Linked DNA regions of Daphnia pulex. The protein of the gene in region 1 interacts with the protein of each later gene in a pairwise test. Links are inferred from orthologs where the notes say so. Each region holds a gene or a part of one and is shown on either strand. Other genes may lie near its edges.

Region 1 (3,938 bases):
TAAAACAAACGTACTCGTTGGATGTCTTGGAAAGCACGGATCAACAGCTGCACCAAACGAGTAATAACTCCTTGTTCTCGCAGCGGAGCGTGGTTAGCAGGGCATAAAGCCAGATTACGAACCAACCCGATCAGAGCTAAACAAAAATGGTAATTATGAGACATTTTAAAAGACAAACTTGCTATAATGATACATACCCTTGATGAGTGGCCAACGAGAGGGGGGTTGCAATAAACGGACAATGACGGGCAGTCCACCACTAAGACGAACAGCATTTTGAGCCATTTCAGCTTCAGCGTGACGTGATGTCATGTGACGCAGAGCACATATCTGTAATTAATGGATTTTGTAAGAACCAACACGTTTGTCATTTTAAAAAGATGGATATATTACGGCAGGTTCGGTGATTTCTTCACGATCGCCAGCATGAATAATGGTGCGAACCAGCGCTTCGATACCACCGACTTGACACACAACAGTCTTGTTGCGTTGGTTGTTGCAAGTCAAGTTAGAGAGAATTCCGGCAGCGCAAGTGATTACGTTAACATCACTAGAACCTAACAACTGAACAAGTCCTTGAAGCAGGGTTTCTAAACCTTCTTGCTGTAAGAGAAAAATAAAGGTATAAGCATTGTCCTTAAGATAGGAGCAGAACATAAAATAATTTTTCTTTTAGAAGATAATCACCTGCTTGGTCGCAGCATCGGAAAGATTGCGGCAGGTCCATAAACAGTTCTGAACTAGGCGATGACTTTGGTGGCCCAAGTGCATTGCCAACGCTTGCATACCTCCAGCTTCAACAATAGCTGGTTTGTTGCTAGAACAGACCGACAGCACTGGGAAAAAAATTTATAAATAAATCACGTACATTAAACATTACGGTTTTTATAAATTACCTTTCAAAACTCGTGAAGTGGTCCACAGCAGCTTTTCGTAAGTATATGACCGAAGAATTCGAACAAGTTCCATCGGCCCCTGTGAAGCTAAAATGATCAACTTGGATTCTTGATTGCCATACGCCAGAATTTGAAGACAATCAGTAACGATTGCCAAGAATTTGACATTGTTGCGCTGAAGGAGAGCAACCATCTTCTGTAAACCACCCGCCAAACGAACGGCCATTTTTGAGCCTTCTTGATGGAGCAGCAAGTTGTGCAGCGTCGTGATAGCATAAAAAAGAACGGATTCCACGGGCGAGCTTTTCGAGATGACAAAAAATAAAAATAAGTAACGTTTGAAGAAAGCCGTCAGTTCGGACACATGAAGGATGAGACGGGACAATACCTCAACAGCTTCACCAAAGCTGGAATTCCCCCAGATTTAAAAATAGCCAACAATCCTTGGCGGTGATGTGATAGGTTGTGCAGGGTACCAACGGCACCTTTGGTTGTTTCCAGGTCATTGCTATTGGACAGTGCTCGAACGAGAGCCGCAATCATCTACGATCAAACGGATATGCATTATGAACTTGGAAAATAATTTTAAAAGAAGTGTAACACAGAGTAATAATAAAATCATAGAAACTTTGGTTGCCTGTGGGCTATTCATGATAGCATGGCGGGACGCTTCCTTCTTGGACAACTGGTGAACCATCATGGCAGCATGAGATACGACAACTTGATCTTCATCGTTCAACAACTTGATCAGTTCGGGAATAGCTCTTGTAGCTAGATCAGCATCATCCTACCAACCCAAATATTATTACTTTAAGCAGTTCAAAATTTTGAATTTCAGCAATAATACCTGATAGTTGATCAAATTAACAACGGCATGTTTCAACATTTGCGACGGTTCGGCTAAACGCTGAACAGCAGTTGGCTGTGTGGTATCAAACTGAGTAGATGGAATTTCCATTCCTTCATCCAGTGTCTCTGGAAACATGGCAGCACGAATACGCTGGGAGCGAGTCTGGTTTAACTGAGCATTCATGTCTGTAACAAAGTATTTGATTAAAACATATACCGCAATAAGAATCAAAAATATTTTATTGTTTACCTTCAACTTGGTCTTGAGTATAACCAGCTGAATAGCCACTTGATCCACCCATGTTAAGCATGACTCCTCCTTCAGAAGTATCCATATCATCATCACCACCTCTTCCAGAGAGTGATGGGGCCTAAGAAGTAAACATTTAGTTCGAAAGGTTACCTTCACTCGCACAATTCACTCAATATTTACCTGAGTGGTTGCCCCACTTTGGATTCCTGAATCTCCTACATATCCAGGTTGCCCAACTCCTTGCCACATCAATGTATGTTCCTTAACGCTGGGCATAGGAAGATCAGCAGGGCTATTGCTAACATATTGCCCATGTGACACTATACATACAAATTAAAGAGTTATAATAGATTTAATGAAAAATTTTAATTTAAAAAAGCTCATACTTGGCCTCCCTTGTGCCTGCATCTGATAACTCATGATGCGGCTGTGTATCGACGACTTTGCGACGAGATAACCTTAAATAAAGAAACGAGGGTAAGAACCAGGGCTAACAAAGTGTCGCAACTATGATGAAGTAAACTGCGTGTTTGACTGTCACTTGAGATTTCGACACAGTAAAAAGCCATTCAAAAGTCGAGAAAATTGTTGTTTGCTTTCGAAAAACATTTTAAGTGTAATTTTAAACAATTTAAGGTCACATACCTTTGGAATTTCGATTTGGTGACAAGAGATTAACAGAGCCACACCTGCCACAATCAGAAAACAAGGACCTGCTTCGTTCTGAAGTACTGACGCGTCTAAAAAGCCCTTAAAGATGGCGGCCATCAGCTTGAAACGGAACTATTTTTTTGGCGTTTTCTGTTTTTCTATGGTAAACCAATAAAACCAAAAACATTTAAATATAGCTTGAAATTACGTATTTAATGTGTTTTATTCCAAAACAAAAAAAAATAATAAAACAAATATTTGTGGGAAAGTCCAATAATATTTTAGAATATTTTTTAAAATTTCTAGCGTAGGAATACATAGCTAGTTTCCCCTGCCCGTTTGTCCAGACGGAAAGAGTGGGAGGGGAATAAAAAAAAGTTTCAAGTTCGGAATGACTCACAAATACCATTGAACAAATGATAAAAAAAAGTGCATTGCTTCTCAAGCAGGTTTTTAACCTCTTCCTTTTTTAATTACCTAGATACAGCTATGTAATAAATAGGTTGGCATTTCAGGGGTAGGGAGCCGTGGATTGCTGTCGATTGGCTAAAGAATAAATCGCCGCAATATGAAATTTCGGTTTTTGTACTTTTTTCCCGATATGCAGCAATGAAAAAAACAAAAGTTCGCTTGCTCGCTTAAGATTACATTAACTTCTTCACCTTTTCCAAACTTTAAATGAAATTCATGTAATGACTTCAAGTATAATGTCAAGTAAAAGTGCCCCATAAATCACATACAAAGAGTGTGAAAGGAATCAAAAGTCTTCGTTACCATGCACACCTGCTTTTTTGTGTGCTAGGAACGACTTCAAACTTTTTTAACCCAAAGAGCTTCGACGGAAACTTAGTCGTTTGGCATTGTCAAAAATATCAACTCGTTTATTGAACAAAAAACGGACATATTAAGGCTGTCAAATTTCTCTGCAGGATGTGCCGTTTTTTTTTTTTTTTAATCTATTCTAGATCTAGTCCTTCGATACTTTATATTGACTTATTATTGCACCGCAATGGTACCGATAGCTAATAAATTTCCCGGCTCATTTTACTGTTAAAGAGTCCAAAGTAACTTGTAACTTTACGATACCATTTTCTGCAACAATCGTCTTAAAAGATATTAAAGGTTATTGGTCAACACTATTTTCAGTGTATATTTCCAAATCATTTTCTTTACAAGGCTGAATTTATACAGCAACATTTTCAGTTTTGTTTTTGAATGGAAAGATTAGTGCTGCGTCCATTTGATACTTTTCAAATCAATCCCTTCTTGGACCATTTCCCAAAGAGGAC
Region 2 (16,726 bases), on another chromosome or scaffold:
GTCCCTGCAACTCTCTTTATCACTCGTTCCAAAAGGGAATCGCCTCGAAATTTTTAGCATATGTTTTTTCCATAAAATAATTTCAAACCGGTCTTGGCGAACGTGTAAAAAAGAAACAGAAAAAATAGTGGTCGATGACGACGACCCTATTTGGCCATTGGGTCTCCTTTTTCTATATCCATTCCGCCATAGTGTGTGTGTGTGTCTGTATATTTTTTATCGTCTGGGGATACACAAGTTCGACCGGTTTTTTTTCTTTTTTAAGCAGAAGAAAAGAAGAAAAACATGGAACAGAGAATTCTTTTTTTCGTTATTTAAAGTCTAGCGCATCTTAAATTGAAACGGGGTATAATACCGGATTTAAAGGCAGGGTCGTGGGCAACATGGCCGACACTTTACGGCTTCAGGGTCCCCCATACTGCGCTTGTTAAATTGTAAAAATCTGTAAAGAAAAAGGGAAAAAGTTTGTCTCCAATGCCATAAAGTCACATCGTCTCGTTTTGGTTTTTCGGTTTTTTGGTTGTCGTTCAATATTCCGTGTGCCAATCCCAGGCGACAACCGATAACCTGTCCGCCGGTGTCTAACTCCTATCACACACTATTCTAAATGTATTATTGGAAATTCTCTTTCTTTTTTAGGAAACTTGGGTTGGATTTAGTGCCAAGAATCGATGACCGTATCGTCGGGCCGGACACTCTGGGAGTGTATCAACTCTACAACGTCGTAAGTCCATTCAATTTAAAAAAAAAAAAAAAATACTGGCCAATTCAAATGCAATGACATTCTAATCACGCTTCTCAATTAATCAGCATGTGGCCAGCGCTGAAAAAAACCGCAACACCACGGTAGGTTCATTTCGACATTTGTTTTCAATTGATTATGTATTATTCAACTTTCAATTCGAAATGTTGGTGATTTTTATTTTTATCTGTGCACTAGTGGAACGCCACTCTGCCGGCCAGAGGTGGCAAGAATCCGGAAGTGCGTCCAGCGACCCATCACTTGTACCTGTCGATGCGTCACTTTGGATGCTCGCTGGGCGAAGACGCCGAGGTGAACTTCGCCCTCTACGACATGCAGCATTCGCGTTACGTGAGGTGAAAACAAACAAACACTTTTTTATTTCGCCCGTGTCTCTTTGACGATTTGAAATTTATCTCTTTCGTCTGGAACACACACAAAAACCAAAAACCAAAACTTGTTCTTTGTATTTATATAGTGAAAAGTTTCTAGTCAAAGTTCTCAAAGAGGGTTTCTCCAGCTACATCGGCAAAGCCAATCACAGCGCTACGCTCTTCACGGTACGACCGCACCTATTTCATCCGCCCGAAATTTGCATATTCGATATCTGAAAAAAGATTTTATTTTGATTTTTATTTATTTTTAATAGGAACTGGGAAACGCCGATTTGAAAAAGGATCTTTATTTGGTCGTCCAAGTCATCCGACTTGGCCGGCTACTCTACACCGAGTCGTCCAAGAAGCCGCTCAGTCAGACGTACCGGCGCCCGCACGCCGTCGCCGTCTTGCCTTTGGCCGAGTTGCTGGCCGACGCCGGCGGATTAGGCACCCTGGAAGAAGAGGAAGAAAGAGAATTTCCTCTGAAATTGTACCAGAGCGACGAGAAAGACTACGGACTCTGGCAGCACGAATTGGTGGCCAAGAAATCCACCAGTAAATTCAGTCTCCTCTCCGGACAGATTTCTCAAGGTAAGAAATTTCCATCCCATTATGTAATTGGCCCACTTCCGGCTTCCATTCATTCATTTCTCTTTTTATTTTCAAGGTGTGGTGGTTTCGCTGAGGCTGTTGCGTGGCGAATTGGCCGCCTTGCGTCACGAATACATTCACCTTCTGAAGAACGTCCCACTGACTCAAAAGCTGGGCTTTCCCGATGTTATCATGCCCGGTGACGTCAGGTATTTTCTCTATACGCTAATTACCTTCGGGGGATTTCTTCGTCTTAACCAAACAAATCACTTCCGGTTTTATCCAGGAACGATTTGTACTTTGTAATCGAACGCGGCGATTTCGAGCGCGGTGGCAAATCGTCGAGTAAAAACGTCGAGGTGACCGTCCTGGTCCTGGACGAATTCGGCCGACCCATCCAGGTAAAAAAATACAAAATGTGGGTGGTGTGATGATGTTGTGACAAAACGATATTAACAGGTAGAAAACACGAAATGGCACGAACCGAGAGAGTTCTAGACGCCACCAGATTTTTAATGGCGACGCGCTATAGGCGACACGCCGCTTATTTTATATTTTAACATTTTTGTTTTTCCCACGCAACCCGTATGATAATTAAGTAGGGAAACCGGCTTTTTTTTCCCCCCACCGATGATAATCAGCCAATGTGTTTTTTCTTTTCTTTCCTTCTACTCGTCGGGGCTGCTGCCACACGCATGAATAACTTGGACGTGTAATAATCCCCACCACCAACCGGTCGAGTCTGGTGGATAAGTTTTGAGAGTGTCGAGCCCAGTGCCCTTTGATGGCCTTGATTATTATTATCGTCAGACTCTGCGCGCGCTATCTTTACATATTTCTTTTCTGGCCGTCTTACAATTCATCACATTGTTGTTGATCGGGAACAATGGGAACAACTACTGAAATTGAATTGAATTTTTTTTTAATGATTAAATCTCTTTTATTTTTTGTTTGTGTGTGTATTTGATAGAATTGTTTGTACGGAGCCTCCAATGTTGAGGGTGTGACGCAACACCAATCTGTCGTCCTCTACCACATGAACAGCCCAGTGTGGTACGAGATGATCAAAGTTTCATTGCCCATCGAAAAGTATTACGGCGCCCATTTGCGGCTAGAGTACCGGCACTGCAGCAGTAAGTTTTTTAGCGCTAGGCCATTTAGATGGTCCAGTAAAAATATAAAATAAATGTCATTCAATTCAATTTTGATTAGCCAAAGATAAAACGGAGAAGCGGCTCATCGGTTTCTCCTTCATCCCGTTGATGGACCGTGACGGAACGGTTTTGCCCGACGGCCAGCACCAACTGCTGGTCTACAAAGTGGAGGATCAGACCCGTTTCAAGGATCCCTCCGTCTCCTATCTCCAGTTGCCCTACTCGACGAAACAGATCCAGTCGGCCCTGGCCGTTCAGTCGACTTCTTCCATCGGCTCGTCGTCACCGTCCTGCGCCTCGTTCCATCGAAACAGTCGCGAGTCGGTCACGGTAGCTTTTTACCTGTGCTCCACCAAACTCACTCAAAATGGTTTTCAATTATATTCACCGGATGTATTTGTACCAAGACAAACTAATCGATTTTTTCTTTATTCTCCACAGCCAATTTGTTGTCGTTGCTCAAGTGGAAATCTCATCCGGAACGGATCACGGACACACTCAACCTGGTCATGCGTCTCAGAGGGGAGGAGCTAGTCAAGTTTCTCCAGGACGTGCTCGACTCGCTTTTCGTCATGTTCTCCGATACGGAAGGCAACGCCACGCCCCATTCTGGCCTGGTCTTTGAAGTCCTGGTATGTCAAATAAAAAATGAATAGATTTCACGCCATATTAATGACATTTATAGCTCGTGATGGTTTTTTAATTAATTGGTTAATTTATAGGTCAATATTCTGAGTCTGCTGGATGACAGTAAATTCCAGCACTTTAAATCGGTGGTCGACGCCTACATTACCGACCATTTCTCAGCGGCTTTGGCTTACAAGTAATTGACGATTATTTTGAATTGATTGAATTGTTCGTTTTTATTTTTTTAAATGAATTAAATTCATTAGGGGACTGCTGAGTTGCGTCCAGCAATGCACTGACCGGGTTCACTCGAGCAGCGATTGCAAGTTCGAGCCGATCCAGCAGTGCTTCCGGGCTTTTGAAATTCTCTTCAAATTGGTGATCCAGTCACGGCGGCTCTACGCCAGGGCCATCCTGGAAAACCAGGAGGACGACGATTTCCGCCAATATGTCCAGTCACTTTTCGCCACTTTCAACAAGGTCGCCTCGCTCAACAGCGACGTCCTCGTCAGCACTCAGGTAACATACAATACGCCGGAATATTTATGTTTTATCCAGCGATTTCTATTGATATCCGGCTCGTCCATTTTTTTTTTCCAGGTTGTGCTGCTGCGCAATATTTACACTGTGGTGGAACAGCTGAGCCAAATCCTGAGCCAAGCGGAATCCTCCAAACTCTTGGCGTCGTTGATCGACAGCCTGCCCAAAGAGCCGCATCCGCTGATCGCCACGGCCCGGATGCAGCTCGTCCTGACCACCGTCCGCGGGCCGCTCTTTACGGAATCGTCGGCCGCTCGGGCCATTCTGCTGGCCACCATCTGCCGCCAGCTTCGGCTCCACCTGTCGCAGCCGCTGGTCATGTCCCTGTGCACGGAAACCCTGGGCCACATGATGAATTTCTACCGCAAGATGAGCATGATGGACGACACGACGGTGGACAACATTTGGTATCGCGACGTCGAAACCATCACCTTAGCGACGCTGGGCGTCCTCATCCAGGCCGTCCAATCGGCCCAGAAAACCGATTCCAATGTGGTAAGAATTGGCATTTGGATGGCGTAACAATTGGATCGTATTAAAAATGATTCTTATTTTGGCGGATGAATTGAAACAGGGCCCTCTGGTGGCCTGCTTGCTGAGCGTACTGGAACTGCTGGATCAGGGCCACTACGACCGACTCTGGTCGGAATTGTCGGAACGCAAACCGCTCAAGGATTTCCTGCTGCAACTGTTCGCCGTGCTGAGGGCGCTGGCCCGCCAAGGCGAGCACGTCTTCCCGTCCGAGTGGTCCACCATGCACTGCGTTGTCAACCGCGTCATGCTGGCATCTCTGGATCAAATGACCCAACCGCTTGTGGCCTATTTCCTCGACTCCGGCTGGTTCGACAGTCAGGTATACTAAGCAATCCTTGTCAAAACTTTTATTTCATTTGTGATGATTTAACCAATGAAATTATTTTCCAGCTGTGGAGCAATTACTTCGATCTGGCCGTCTCTTTTTTGACGCAACCCAGTTTGCAGCTGGAAAAGCGCACCCCCAGTCAGCGACTGAAAATGGTCCGCGCCCAGGGAGGCGATATGCGGGTTCAGATGGGCTTCCAAATTCTGGTATTATTTTGATAGAAATTGAAATTTTTTAAAAGCCGAATAATTTCAAACTATTTTCTCTCAAAATTCTTAGACTATGTGGAATGCCATCGGTGATTACAAGATTCATTTTATACCGACGATGGTCGGGCCATTTCTGCAAGTGACACTAGTTCCAGAACCAACTCTGCGCCGGGCCACACTGCCCATCTTTTTCGACATGCTCGACTGCGAACATCGACACAGGGGAAACTTCAAACAGGTAAATATTTATTAAATGAACCCTCTAAAGTTCAATGAAATTCAAATCTTTTCATATTCTGTCAGGTTGAATCGGAACTGATTGACAAGTTGGACGTCCTGGTGGGCGAGAATAAAGGAGACGACAATTACAAGGAACTCTTCAACACCATGTAAGTGTTTTCATTTCCTTTTTTGATTAGTGGCATTTTCCAATCAATGTTTTGCTCTGCGATTGACTTAAAATTGATCTTTCTCTTTAACGCTTCTTAAACACAAAATGAAAGGGAAATGTTGAGCTCAATGTAAGTATTGTTGGGCCCAATCAGATAAACTCTCCGACTATATCTTCTCGATCGCGAATCGTGAAATGACTAATTGGTTTTATTCAAATTCCGGTTGCAGATTGTTGGAGAAGGTGAAATCGTGCGACGTGACGTGGCAGAAACACGGCAAGGCTTTCATAGGTTCCATTACGCGACTCTTGGAACGGCTGCTGGACTACCGCAACGTCATGGAAGGCGAAGAGAATCGTGACAAACGAATGAGCTGCACCTTCAATTTGCTGGTATAGTACAAGTACAACAAGTTCATAAATTTGTCACGAGCCGGAATTATTCTTCAATTCAATTCAAAAATTTTTGTATTTTGATTCAGAATTTCTACAAAGACGAGGTGGACCGCCGTGACATGTACCTGCGCTACATCTACAAATTGCACGATCTCCACTTATCGGCTGACAACTACACCGAAGCAGCCCTGACGTTACAATTGCACGCCAACCAAATGAGTTGGTCCAGCCAAAATTTGCCAGCCGACGGCCATCACTCGTCGCAAATGGAGTGGCAACGCAAGGAGTAACAAACCGGACTACTACTATTAATGGGCTAAACTTCAATTATTTTACAATTTATTCCGCAGGCAAATTTACATGAAGAGCATTGCGTATTTCGACCGCGGCAAGTGCTGGGAAAAGGGGATCCCGCTGTGTAAGGAGCTGGCCGACTTTTACGAGACTCGACTCTACGACTACGGCAAACTCTCGCACATATTGCGGATGCAGGCCGCTTTTTACGACCACATCCTGACGCAGCTGCGGCCTGAACCCGAGTACTTTCGCGTCGGCTTCTACGGCCAGGGATTCCCGCTCTTCCTGCGCAATCGCCTCTTCGTCTACCGGGGGCTCGAGTACGAGCGGATCGGCGCATTTACCCAGCGGCTCCAGACCGAGTTCCCCACCGCCCACATTCTGACCAAAAACACTCCGCCGGGCGACGTCATCCTGACCTCGGAGGGCCAGCACATCCAGATCTGCAACGTCAAACCCGTGGCGGAGGACCATCCGGTGTTCGACGCCGGACTCGTTGGTTTTCACGAAAAGATTCGCAGCTATTACCGCGTCAACGACGTCCGCCGCTTCCAGCTGGATCGGCCCATCCACAAAGGACCTGTTGATCGAGACAACGAATTCAAAAGCCTCTGGATCGAACGCACTTGGCTCGTCACCGAGCATCCGTAAGTCAACTCATGTTCAATCAATTGAATTTCGAATAAAATGGCGGGAATTTTAAATTTTCAGATTGCCGGGAATTTTGCGCTGGTTCCAAGTGGTCGACCGCCACGTCGAAGAGATCGCTCCGGTCCAGTACGCTTGCGAGACGGTCTTGTCGGTCAATCGCGAATTGCAGCAGCTGGCGTCGTTGCACGCCGCCGAACCTCGCCGGAACATCAATCCGTTCAGCATGCGACTTCAGGGCGTCATCGACGCCTGTGTCATGGGCGGAATCGCTAAATACCAGGAGGCTTTCTTCAATTCCGATTTCCTGGCCAGCCATCCTGGACACCTGGAACACGTCCTCCAACTGCGCCAGTGCATCGTCGAACAGGTCCGCATCCTGGAGGCTGGATTGGCCCTTCACGGCAAATTGGCCCCGCCGGAAGTCCAGCCGCTTCACAAAAGGCTGGTCGAGTGTCTGGCCCAGATGAAACAGCGTCTGAAAGAGTGGGGATTCCCTTCGCCGGACACTGGGGCTCGCTACGCCAATAGTCATGGGCCGTCGGCTGTAGCCCATCATCACCGACGGGCCGATAGCGACGCCGGAATTGAGTACAGCCCGGCCAAGGTGAACAGCAGCAATCCATTGCTCAACACGTCACTGCCGATGGTGTCGGACCGCATGAAAGCCCAGCGGTCGTTGACGGCCGGCGGACCGCCCAGCAATCGCTCCTCGAGTTCCAGCAGCAGCTTGTACGGCCATCTAACGGTGGGCGAAGTGGGCAGTGAAGACGAGGAGGACCTTTACTGTAAACCGTCGGAAATCCTGGAAAAATTACAAGCGGCCAGTGCAGCTGGATCGGTTCCACTCCAGCCGATCTATTCAACTTCGACGACGCCCAGGTCGACCGTCACCAACGTCAGCCGGGCCAAATCTCCCCGCTGGGCCAACGAGTACATCTTCTTCAGTCCCGCCTCTTTGCGGGATTCCGGATTCGGGACGGACCGCGAATCTTTGAGTTCCAACAATCCCATCAATTCGATGACAATCACCCGAACGCCGTTGAGCAGCAAAATCTCGCAGACGAGCCTCGCCCAGCAATCCCGGCACACTCTGTCCTCGCCCAACGTGCACGACACGGTGGATTCGACTCCGAGCCGGACTCCTCCGCGCCAAACTGCACCGCCCCTGCCGCCGAGATCATCGAAATCCTCGTTCGACGAATCGTTTGCCGGCGGATGCGATGCGTCATCTCCGCCCCCCATCCATCCCAAGCGAGTGCCAAAGAAAGGCTCAATGATCCCGTCCAATCTCATGATGTCGCCGGAAGCCATCGAAGCCGGAACGCTGCGACACCACCGACCGCCTCCGGCTCCTCCTCTGCCTCCGAAATCCGGATGCTCGGCCTCTCCCATGTCGACGCCAATGACGTTGACACCGGGTCCTGTGTTGAGCGGTCCGCCTCCGGTTCCGCCGCACGGCCGGCCGGCCATCAACAACAGCACTTCGTTTTCGAATCCGCTGGATCTCGGCAGCGGGAGCGGCAGCTTAGTCGACGAAGTGTGCAGTTTGTTGGCAGCTTCCGGCTGCCGGATGATGTCCAACGGCAGCCCCAAGAGTCCTAGTCCTCCCGCATCGCCCCCACCTCCCCTTCCGATCCTTCCGCCACCCGACGAATCTCTCTACTCTGTCGAAACCGCTTGAATTGAAATTTTAGTAATATCTGAGCAGCTTGGATTAGTCAGCTCGCCACAGTGACCGACAGAATGTCAAATCAAATCAACATCACTATACATCATTTACATATACTCACACACACACACCCGACGTTCATCCAAAGAAGAAAAAAACTCCGTTGCATTGTGTAGATCCTATTTTCCTATATTAGTTCAGCAGTAATAATAATAATAACTATTTCTTTCATTTTTTTTGTTTTTTCCCAATGAAACTATACTCATATCATATACTATTCCCTTGACGTTCCGTATCGGATCTTTCCTCCTCTCCTATTAGGCATCAACGTATATAAACGTAGCGCTGTGTCTATATTATATATGCCATGTCGAGTATTATCAATGGAGAAAACGTAGAGCGTTCCAGCGTTCCTGTCTCTTGTGTGTGTTGACATATCACAATAATCTGAGTGTCTGAGTGTAGTCTTCCATTTCTATATATTCCTTCGACAGATTCTTTGACTTCTCCTGACGGAAGAACATTTCAAAAGAAAAGAGCGAGTTCATGCATAATTTTTGTTTGTTTTCTTTCTGTTCTTTCATTATCTTGAGTTTTGAAGCTTTTTTCCATCAATCAATCACGGATCACGACGACATTCACTTGTGGATTGAGAGTCGCTTCGTTTTTTGGATGCAATTCCCAACAACGTGATTCTCGATCATCATGTCATTTCAAAGAACTTATTATCAAAAAAAGATTTTATGTAGATGTATCCATGATTAGAAATAAACGATGACAATGACCTGTCAATTTTTCTGAAATTTGGCAACTTCGCCGATTAACCACTGTTTTCAGTTTTCCGTTTGACAGCTGTCTCTTTTTAACTGCACAAAGAAAAAGAGAAACAATTAGTTTGTCTTTTTGACACATTTTTAGTGCGTAGCTAACTGTAGAATATTTGAATTTAGATCAAAATGTCGACTTTTTTTCACCAAGCAGGAACTGCAATGGAATGCCTCAGCGTGAGTGTCCCATCGAATTTGACGTTTGATTTTGACCTCGAATGACTCACCTAAATAACAATATTGTGTATCTAAAATGTCTAAATGTGTTGTATGTTCCAGATTCCCATAACTCTACACAAAGAATCTGTCCTAGATCATGAAGGAAGAGAAGTGCATAGGTGTGGCTTTAAAATAGGAGGAGGAATCGACCAGGACTTCAGAAAAAGTCCACAAAACTATTCCGATAATGTGAGTCCTTTAAGCAGTAACACTGCTGGTTGTAAAGATTTTACCATATTTTTATTGTCTATTTTCTTTAGGGAATTTATGTCACTGAAGTACAAGAAAATAGCCCAGGTAAGAGAGTGCAACAATTTGTTATTGTGAAAAATCTAAAAATTAATATATTTTTTATAAATTTATAGCAGCAAAAGCTGGTCTGCGGATGAATGACAAGATACTGCAGGTATTTTATTTGGTTGAGTTGTTTCTTTTTAAAACATTTACGGTCTTTCAGTGAATTAAGAAATATTAAACTTGAATTGAACTAGCTTAGTGAAATGTTTGCATCTAATTAACTCCAGATCTTGTATTTTGGTAATTACCTCAATTGTGCCAGTTTTGTTGCTTTTGGAAATATTGATTATCACTAAAATCCGGATGTCAGATAAGAAACTTTTTTGACCCGTCACGTTCGCACTTGGCACGTCTCGCCAGAAAGATGTCTTTAATATAATTCTTCGCGTCTTCCTTCGAGAGTGGACTTGGTTTGGCCTGATTTTAATAATTTGTTTTTTTCTTTATCTCCTTTTAAAGTGTAATGGGTACGATTTGACCATGTGCACTCACAAGAAGGCTGTCGACTACATCAAGAAATATCCCGTTTTGAATATGCTGGTTGCTCGCAAAGGAGTAACACATTCGTGAGCACAACAGTTTGGACGCGTTTGGACGACGAGGACCATTATATCAGCTTTATATAGATATTTATATATGATTTTTTGAGTTGGGGGTAAAAAAAAACGAGCCGTTTCAGTAAAATTGAATTTTATGTCGACTCTGCTCGTTTCCACCCCCCTTATTTGCTGGCGGCTTTCATCATTTTTCTAATCAATTTATGCTTTTCCTCTCTGTCACCTCCCTTCCAATTTGTGCTACAAAATTCAAAGAAGAGTCGCAGTATAATGTTGGATCGTGTCGTGCCAGTGCCAAAGTTCCCTCAAGATATTGTTTTTCATTTTGTCGAATGAATGATGTTGTTGTTTTTCTTCTTCTTCTTTTTCTTTCTAAAGGAACAAACCCAACGCAATATTTTGCTGATTGACTGGAGCCGATCGTTGAACTTGTCATCTTCCTTCTGTCTGTGAAACTGCTTTCAAATTAAATTTCAATAAAAATTCAAGACGAAAAAAAAATAAAATAAAATCGTTTGGCGCTGCCACCGAACCACGTTTTTGCTGATGATTGTGTCGATATGAGTGGAAGCGAGCGATTATTATGACGCGAAATACTCGAACCACGTCGGAAAAGAAAATGGCAAGCAGCTGAGTCATGAGGAGATAAAGAATCGGTCCCGCCTGCGATTGCTGAATTGACGTGACTGGTCGAGAGAGAGTGAAATGGTCCAGCCACCAAAGTCCAAGGCTCCCTTGGGTCAAACGGAAAACGGGTATTGCTTTTCGCTGTTACCGCACATGTTGCCGTCGTCCCTTGCGGCTCGGACGGGACGGACGCGATAATCAACCCATCAGGAAGCCAGTTGACACTCGCTCCATTCGAGCCCATCCAGCAGTCGTGTTTGCCTGCGCTCGCCAGCGCAGTCGCCCGTCTATAAATACGTGGATGAGCCAATGGATTCGAATTTCACTAGGATGGGCATGAAAACGCGGTTGGCCGTCCTTGTAGGGCTGGTCTTGGGTCTTGGTAAGTGTGTTTCATAGTGTTGTTGTTGTTGTTGTTGTTCCGTGTTTCGGTGCTCATTCCTACTACTCGCGATGGATATAAATCTCATCTTACTTTTTCATATTCCCGCCACCACCTGCCAACTTTTCCCCGACAGCTTCGGTGTCGTCTGCCCGATACAGTAAGTTCCGTATTTATAACATTTACCACGTTAGCATATAGTATAGCTTTTTCTGCTTTTTAAAATTGGAAAAATTAAAAAAGCACCATGGGCGGCGGGCAGTGAGTACGTCTACCGGATGCACGCCATCTCGGTCAGCGACATTCCGGAGCTGGGACCGCAGGCGGCCGGTGTCAAATTCGACTCCCAGCTGACGGTCCAGTGCCGCGACGCTGGGTCCATCGTCGTCAAGGTAAAGTTCGGAGTCATATCATATCATCATGTCACCGTATGGTTCTCTTTTTGTCTTTCTAAATGGAGTTTGAAATAAAATTAGCTGGTGGACGTCACCGCCTGGAATTTCCACACGGACGTCGGCGAGAGCTGGAGCGAACTCGAGTCCAGCCAACTCGGCACCCAGGTCGTCGTCGAGGGCAAATATTTTCTAGAGAAACCCTTCGTCATTCGTCACCGCGAGGGCTTGGTATTTAAAAAAAAAAAATCATCAATTGACTCGCATTTTCCATCAAGTTTTCACTTGGGGCGCTATTTATGAAATTCAGTTTGAATCGCTGGTGGTGAGTGCGGACGAGCCGTTTTGGTCCATCAACATGAAAAAAGCCGTGGCGTCCAAGTTGCAGCTGCACGTCTCTGGCAGCCGAAGTGTCGAGTCAGCGTCGCGCAACTTTGGCCTGCCAACGGAAGACTCTTATGACGACGTCAACTCTGTCTTCAAAGTCTTTGAGGTAATAGGGTCACTACACCGTATTTATGTATGTACATTTTGAAAATCTCCTTATCTTGGACGATACGCAGAGCGGTGTGACTGGCGAGTGTGAAACCCTCTACGAGATCGCCCCGTTATCGGATGCCCTCATTCGCTCCGACAGCAAACTCAACCCCATGCCCAAGCTGTGCGTCGAAGGGACTTTCTTCCAAGTGGTCAAGACCAAGGACTACAGCAAGTGTCGGCTCAACAAACCCGTCTACACCATCATCGCTCCTTCCGGATGGCAATGCAAATCGGGCGTGGCCGCTTGCGGAACAGCTCGTTCGGTAATATACGAAGTGAATTTCATTGAATTATTCAAATAATTTTACAAATGATTTATCTTTTCGATTGGATTTCAAACACAAAGCGCTCTTCCGTCAATCGTTACATCGCCTGCGGCAGCTTGGAATCCTTCACGTTATTGAAGATGACGCATCAAGGAGAAGTGAGGACCAGTCCGTACGCCTACGACACGGAGCAGCTCAGGTCTCTTTCGCTGATGAAGTTGACGCTGCAGGCCGTCCGCCACGCTTCGTCTTCTTCGGCCTGGCCGCCCAAGGATTTGGACAGTGGACTGGCCATCGGATCGCTAGTCTATTCCTTCCCGGGAACGAACGCCAGCAGCAGCAGTTGGCTTTCGGACGGACTGATGCGGATGCCTCTCCTGCGCGATCCCGACCAACTCCACCAGGGCGTCGACAACCTTCTGGAAGAGGTGGATCGCCTTCTGGCCAAGGCCGTCGATCAAATGGAAGTTAGTCAAGAGGAAGCAGCTGTCGATACGATTTCAGCCATTTCACATCTCGTCCGACACTTGGACTACCAGAAAATCAGTTCACTCGTTGGCGAAATTGGCCATCGCTCGACTCTTGAGAGGTGACGAGAAAATACTAAATATTCGGGACTGGATCATTTTTAAAATCGGAATTTTCAAAACAGGAGCATCTTGCTGGATGCAGTGATTGCAGCTGGCAGCAATCCAACAGTGACCTTCTTGAAAGAAGCCATTCTGAGCCGACGACTAACCAAGTCAGAGAGTTTGCAAGCCATTTCCGGTTTCCCGTTGTACGTGCGCACGCCGACAGCCGAGCTTCTTAACGAACTTTTTGTAACACAATCCTGAATTTGTTGACCCGATTCCAATCGCAAAACCGATTTGTTTTATTTCAACGCAGTTTACATGCAACCTTCACCTTTTTTGTTCATTCATTTATAGACTATGCTGAAAGCCACCAGCGCTTTTTCAGGATCGGAACGGCCCATCTATCACTCGGCGATGATGTCCGTTTCCCAACTGGCGCACGTGGCCTGTGTTAACGTCAGCGAAGCTCGAACTCGTTTTCCGGCTGGACTCTACGGCGACTTTTGCCAACCCAACGACGCTTTCATTACCAGCCGACTGGTCCCGCTCCTCTACAAAGAAATCAACGGAGGGGGCTCAATCGAAGACAAAATGGTTGCACTGACGGCCCTCGGAGAAATCGGCCACGAATCCATTCTCTCCGTCGTTCTTCCCATTATTAAAGCTAAGGTATTCACAGTTAAATTTAAATATGTCTGTCTGGTCAAATTGTCTGATTTTTTATCTTCATCATCCGATATTAGGGTGATTATTCTCCGCTCATCAGGACCAAGGCTGTAATCAGTCTGCACAAAATTGCTCACGATTCCAACACAAAGGTCATCCAAGTCCTGTCAACTACTTTCCAGAATCCAAACGAGAGTAGTGAAGTAAGTTATTGAATAGATTTGTACATAAGCGGGAAATCATACAATACAACTAAATTAATTTCGATTTGTTGCTCACAGGTTCGTATGGCAGCTTTCACGCTGCTCATTTTAGCCAATCCTCCGGCGTATAGGTGGCAGAGGATCGCCGTTTCCACTTGGTTTGAACATAGCGCTCAGGTATCTTAGGACGGTACACCTTTATAGTATAGTATACTTTATTTAGGTTTACCTGGTGTATTATTTTACTTACGTTTAAATTTTTTTTTCATATCTACCGATTTCAGGTAGCCTCCTTCGTGTACACGACTCTTTCCAGCTTGGCTAGCAACATTGAACCGGTCGAGAACTTAAAAGAATTGTAAGTTAATCTTATAATATTGGGTATAACTCATAGTTCATCAAATTTCTCTGGCCAATTGATTAGATCGGAGAAGGCACAAATTGTGTTGCCGTTAGCCAAACGCGTTCCCTTAGGTTTGAAATATTCATACAATTTGAAACGGTCTCAGTTGGTGGCAGAACGCAACGCCGGCGCCGAGTTCCACAGCGAAATGTTTAATTCTGAAGAGTCCATCTTCCCCAAAAGTTTGTACAGTCGGCTCAGTTGGGTTCTGGGGCCATACCACTTTGACATTTTCGAGGTAAACGACCATAATAATGAAAAATACAAACCAGCAAATAGTTTTTTAAATTTAAATCTCCTTTAGTTTGAAGCGTACGGAGAAAACTGGAGAAGTGCCTGGGACCGAATTGTGGCCAAATTCAACCCGTCCTCGGAGAACGGTGACAGTTCTCAATCAAGAAATAGCGGCCGCTTCCGCGAATTCGACCTGCATCCAGACCTGCGCCGAGTGAAGAAACAGCTCAACGCCAAAAGTCCCATTCCAGCACAGGACGCCGGATCGGCGGACGCCTTCTTGCATCTGAGTTTGATGAAAGCTGTTCATCATTTCACTTCCTTCGACGAGGCAGGCATTACCGACTTAATACAAAGTATTAACTTAAAACTCTTGCCAAGCTGTTTACAAAATAAATTTTGAAAATTGACCGACACAGGTCTATGGGCTTCCAGTAGCGTCTCTGTCAAGCGCGAATTTTCCCGTCGCAAGTGGATGCCTTTGACTCACGCTGAAGTTCTGGTGCCAAGCACGCTTGGCTTCATGATTAGTACACGCACTCAGACTCAAGTTTTGACATCTTTCAAAGGTATCTCGCACATTCCGTTTCTCAGTTATCACAATTGCGTTCATTCGAGCCCAATTTATCTTAGGTGATATGCAAATCACCAACGGAGGCTTCAGCGATTTTATGGATTTGAAGAAATGGGCTAGTTCCGCCTCTATCAAGAATCTGGGTCTTGAACTTGACGTCAAGCCAACGTATTTAAAAATATTTCAGTCCGTTTTTTAAACGATTTTAAAAATAACATATTGCTGATTGTCATTCGTAGAATAGTCGTCAAATTGATGGCCAGCATGAGTGTCAACGTGGAATTCACTAAAGCGATACCAGTTTCGGGCGTTGACACTCACGTGACCCTTAGTCTACCTGGCCGGTTAACTCTTGGTGTCGAACTAGACAACTGGAAATTGATGACGGCCTGGAAGCCGGCTTCATCGGGACCGGCTGGGCTTACCACCCTTTATCACTACCGGGTCCGGCCGTTCACGGCTCTACAGGCTCTCGGCACGGACCTGCCAATTAATCCTAGTCCCGGTGAATCAAAAGATGTTCATGCATTTGGAGTGACTCCTCAGACGGTAGCCAAATCCAATGTTAATTAACTACCGGTTTTTACAATTATAATAAAGTGTTGTATCATTGACAATTCAATTTCAGCATCAATATCCAGTCGGGGGCAAGACCGGATTGAAATTGGATTGGACAAGCAGGAGTGAACTTCCAGCTTCGGCCAATCATCGATCCATTTGGCAAGAACCACTTTCCAAAATCCTCATGGACGCGAACTTTGCTCTCCTTCCTGTTTCACTCCACCTTCAGTCTTACCGCGTTACTCTGGATCCAATTGCCTCCGAAACCACCAAAATTGTCTTCTCCTTGAATCTCGGTAAAAAAATCTCAATTAGTGATAACAATTCAAGCGAACCAGAGAGAGAATTCTAAAATTTTGAATGCAATTATTTTGCAGATGCAGCAGATAAGTTGGATAGAGGAACTCAAGTGTACAGCACAGGTTCGAAATCACCTGCCGCCATCAAAGAACCGGCCAATCGCATTCAGTACCTGTCAAACAATATGGAACCTCAAATCAAGAAGAAACTTAACAAGGTATTATCTTGTAATAGATCTAATAATATTAACTCTAGGTGTCTATTTCCTATTTTAACTAGAGGATTATCAAGCTGATTGAATTAAAAAAATTTTATTTCATGTTTTGTTCTTGGCGAAGGTTCTGGGCCCTGTACCAAAAGGATCGGCCATTCACGTGGACGCCAAGTTTATCATGGAAAAAATGGGTTCACCGCCTAAGATTTATGGTGCCTCTTTTGCTGGAGCATACGGAACGGAAGGCACCAAACTGGCCGTTAATGCTCAGCTGGAATTACCCATCAATCAAGAAGTGTCGGATCCGTTTACCGTAGGAATTCTTAGTTTAAATATTTAAAAAAAAACAAAACATATGCTTAAAATTGCCGGCTATTTTTTTC

What was found.
Region 2: the proteins of armadillo segment polarity protein-like (region 1) and tax1-binding protein 3 homolog interact in a two-hybrid assay, tested with the Caenorhabditis elegans proteins (2 studies listed by BioGRID). The link is inferred for Daphnia pulex from reciprocal best matches to the Caenorhabditis elegans genes hmp-2 and txbp-3.

What each region holds. Positions count from the first base shown.
Region 1 is NC_060020.1:4,722,842-4,726,779, forward strand, and holds the start of armadillo segment polarity protein-like, read right to left. Parts: upstream 2,801-3,938; 5' UTR 2,644-2,800; intron 2,457-2,643; 5' UTR 2,419-2,456; coding exon 2,385-2,418; intron 2,319-2,384; coding exon 2,179-2,318; intron 2,117-2,178; coding exon 1,996-2,116; intron 1,932-1,995; coding exon 1,744-1,931; intron 1,684-1,743; coding exon 1,525-1,683; intron 1,440-1,524; coding exon 1,285-1,439; intron 1,199-1,284; coding exon 897-1,198; intron 837-896; coding exon 688-836; intron 604-687; coding exon 394-603; intron 331-393; coding exon 198-330; intron 137-197; coding exon 15-136; intron 1-14. Other genes in the region: cysteine desulfurase, mitochondrial-like, read right to left, coding at 3,874-3,937. UniProt on the Caenorhabditis elegans protein: Required for cell migration during body enclosure and cell shape changes during body elongation. Plays a role in recruitment of the cadherin protein hmr-1 to adherens junctions.
Region 2 is NC_060028.1:2,454,193-2,470,918, forward strand, and holds tax1-binding protein 3 homolog, read left to right. Parts: upstream 1-9,368; 5' UTR 9,369-9,462; coding exon 9,463-9,510; exon of another isoform or gene 9,511-9,560; intron 9,561-9,612; coding exon 9,613-9,741; intron 9,742-9,812; coding exon 9,813-9,849; intron 9,850-9,917; coding exon 9,918-9,958; intron 9,959-10,097; exon of another isoform or gene 10,098-10,308; coding exon 10,309-10,419; 3' UTR 10,420-10,938; downstream 10,939-16,726. Other genes in the region: dedicator of cytokinesis protein 3-like, read left to right, coding at 640-724, 811-846, 941-1,098, 1,221-1,302, 1,392-1,710, 1,787-1,919, 1,997-2,111, 2,681-2,843 and 14 more; vitellogenin-like, read left to right, coding at 11,343-11,415, 11,552-11,575, 11,644-11,807, 11,892-12,038, 12,118-12,300, 12,371-12,610, 12,694-13,202, 13,266-13,434 and 12 more. UniProt on the Caenorhabditis elegans protein: May regulate a number of protein-protein interactions by competing for PDZ domain binding sites.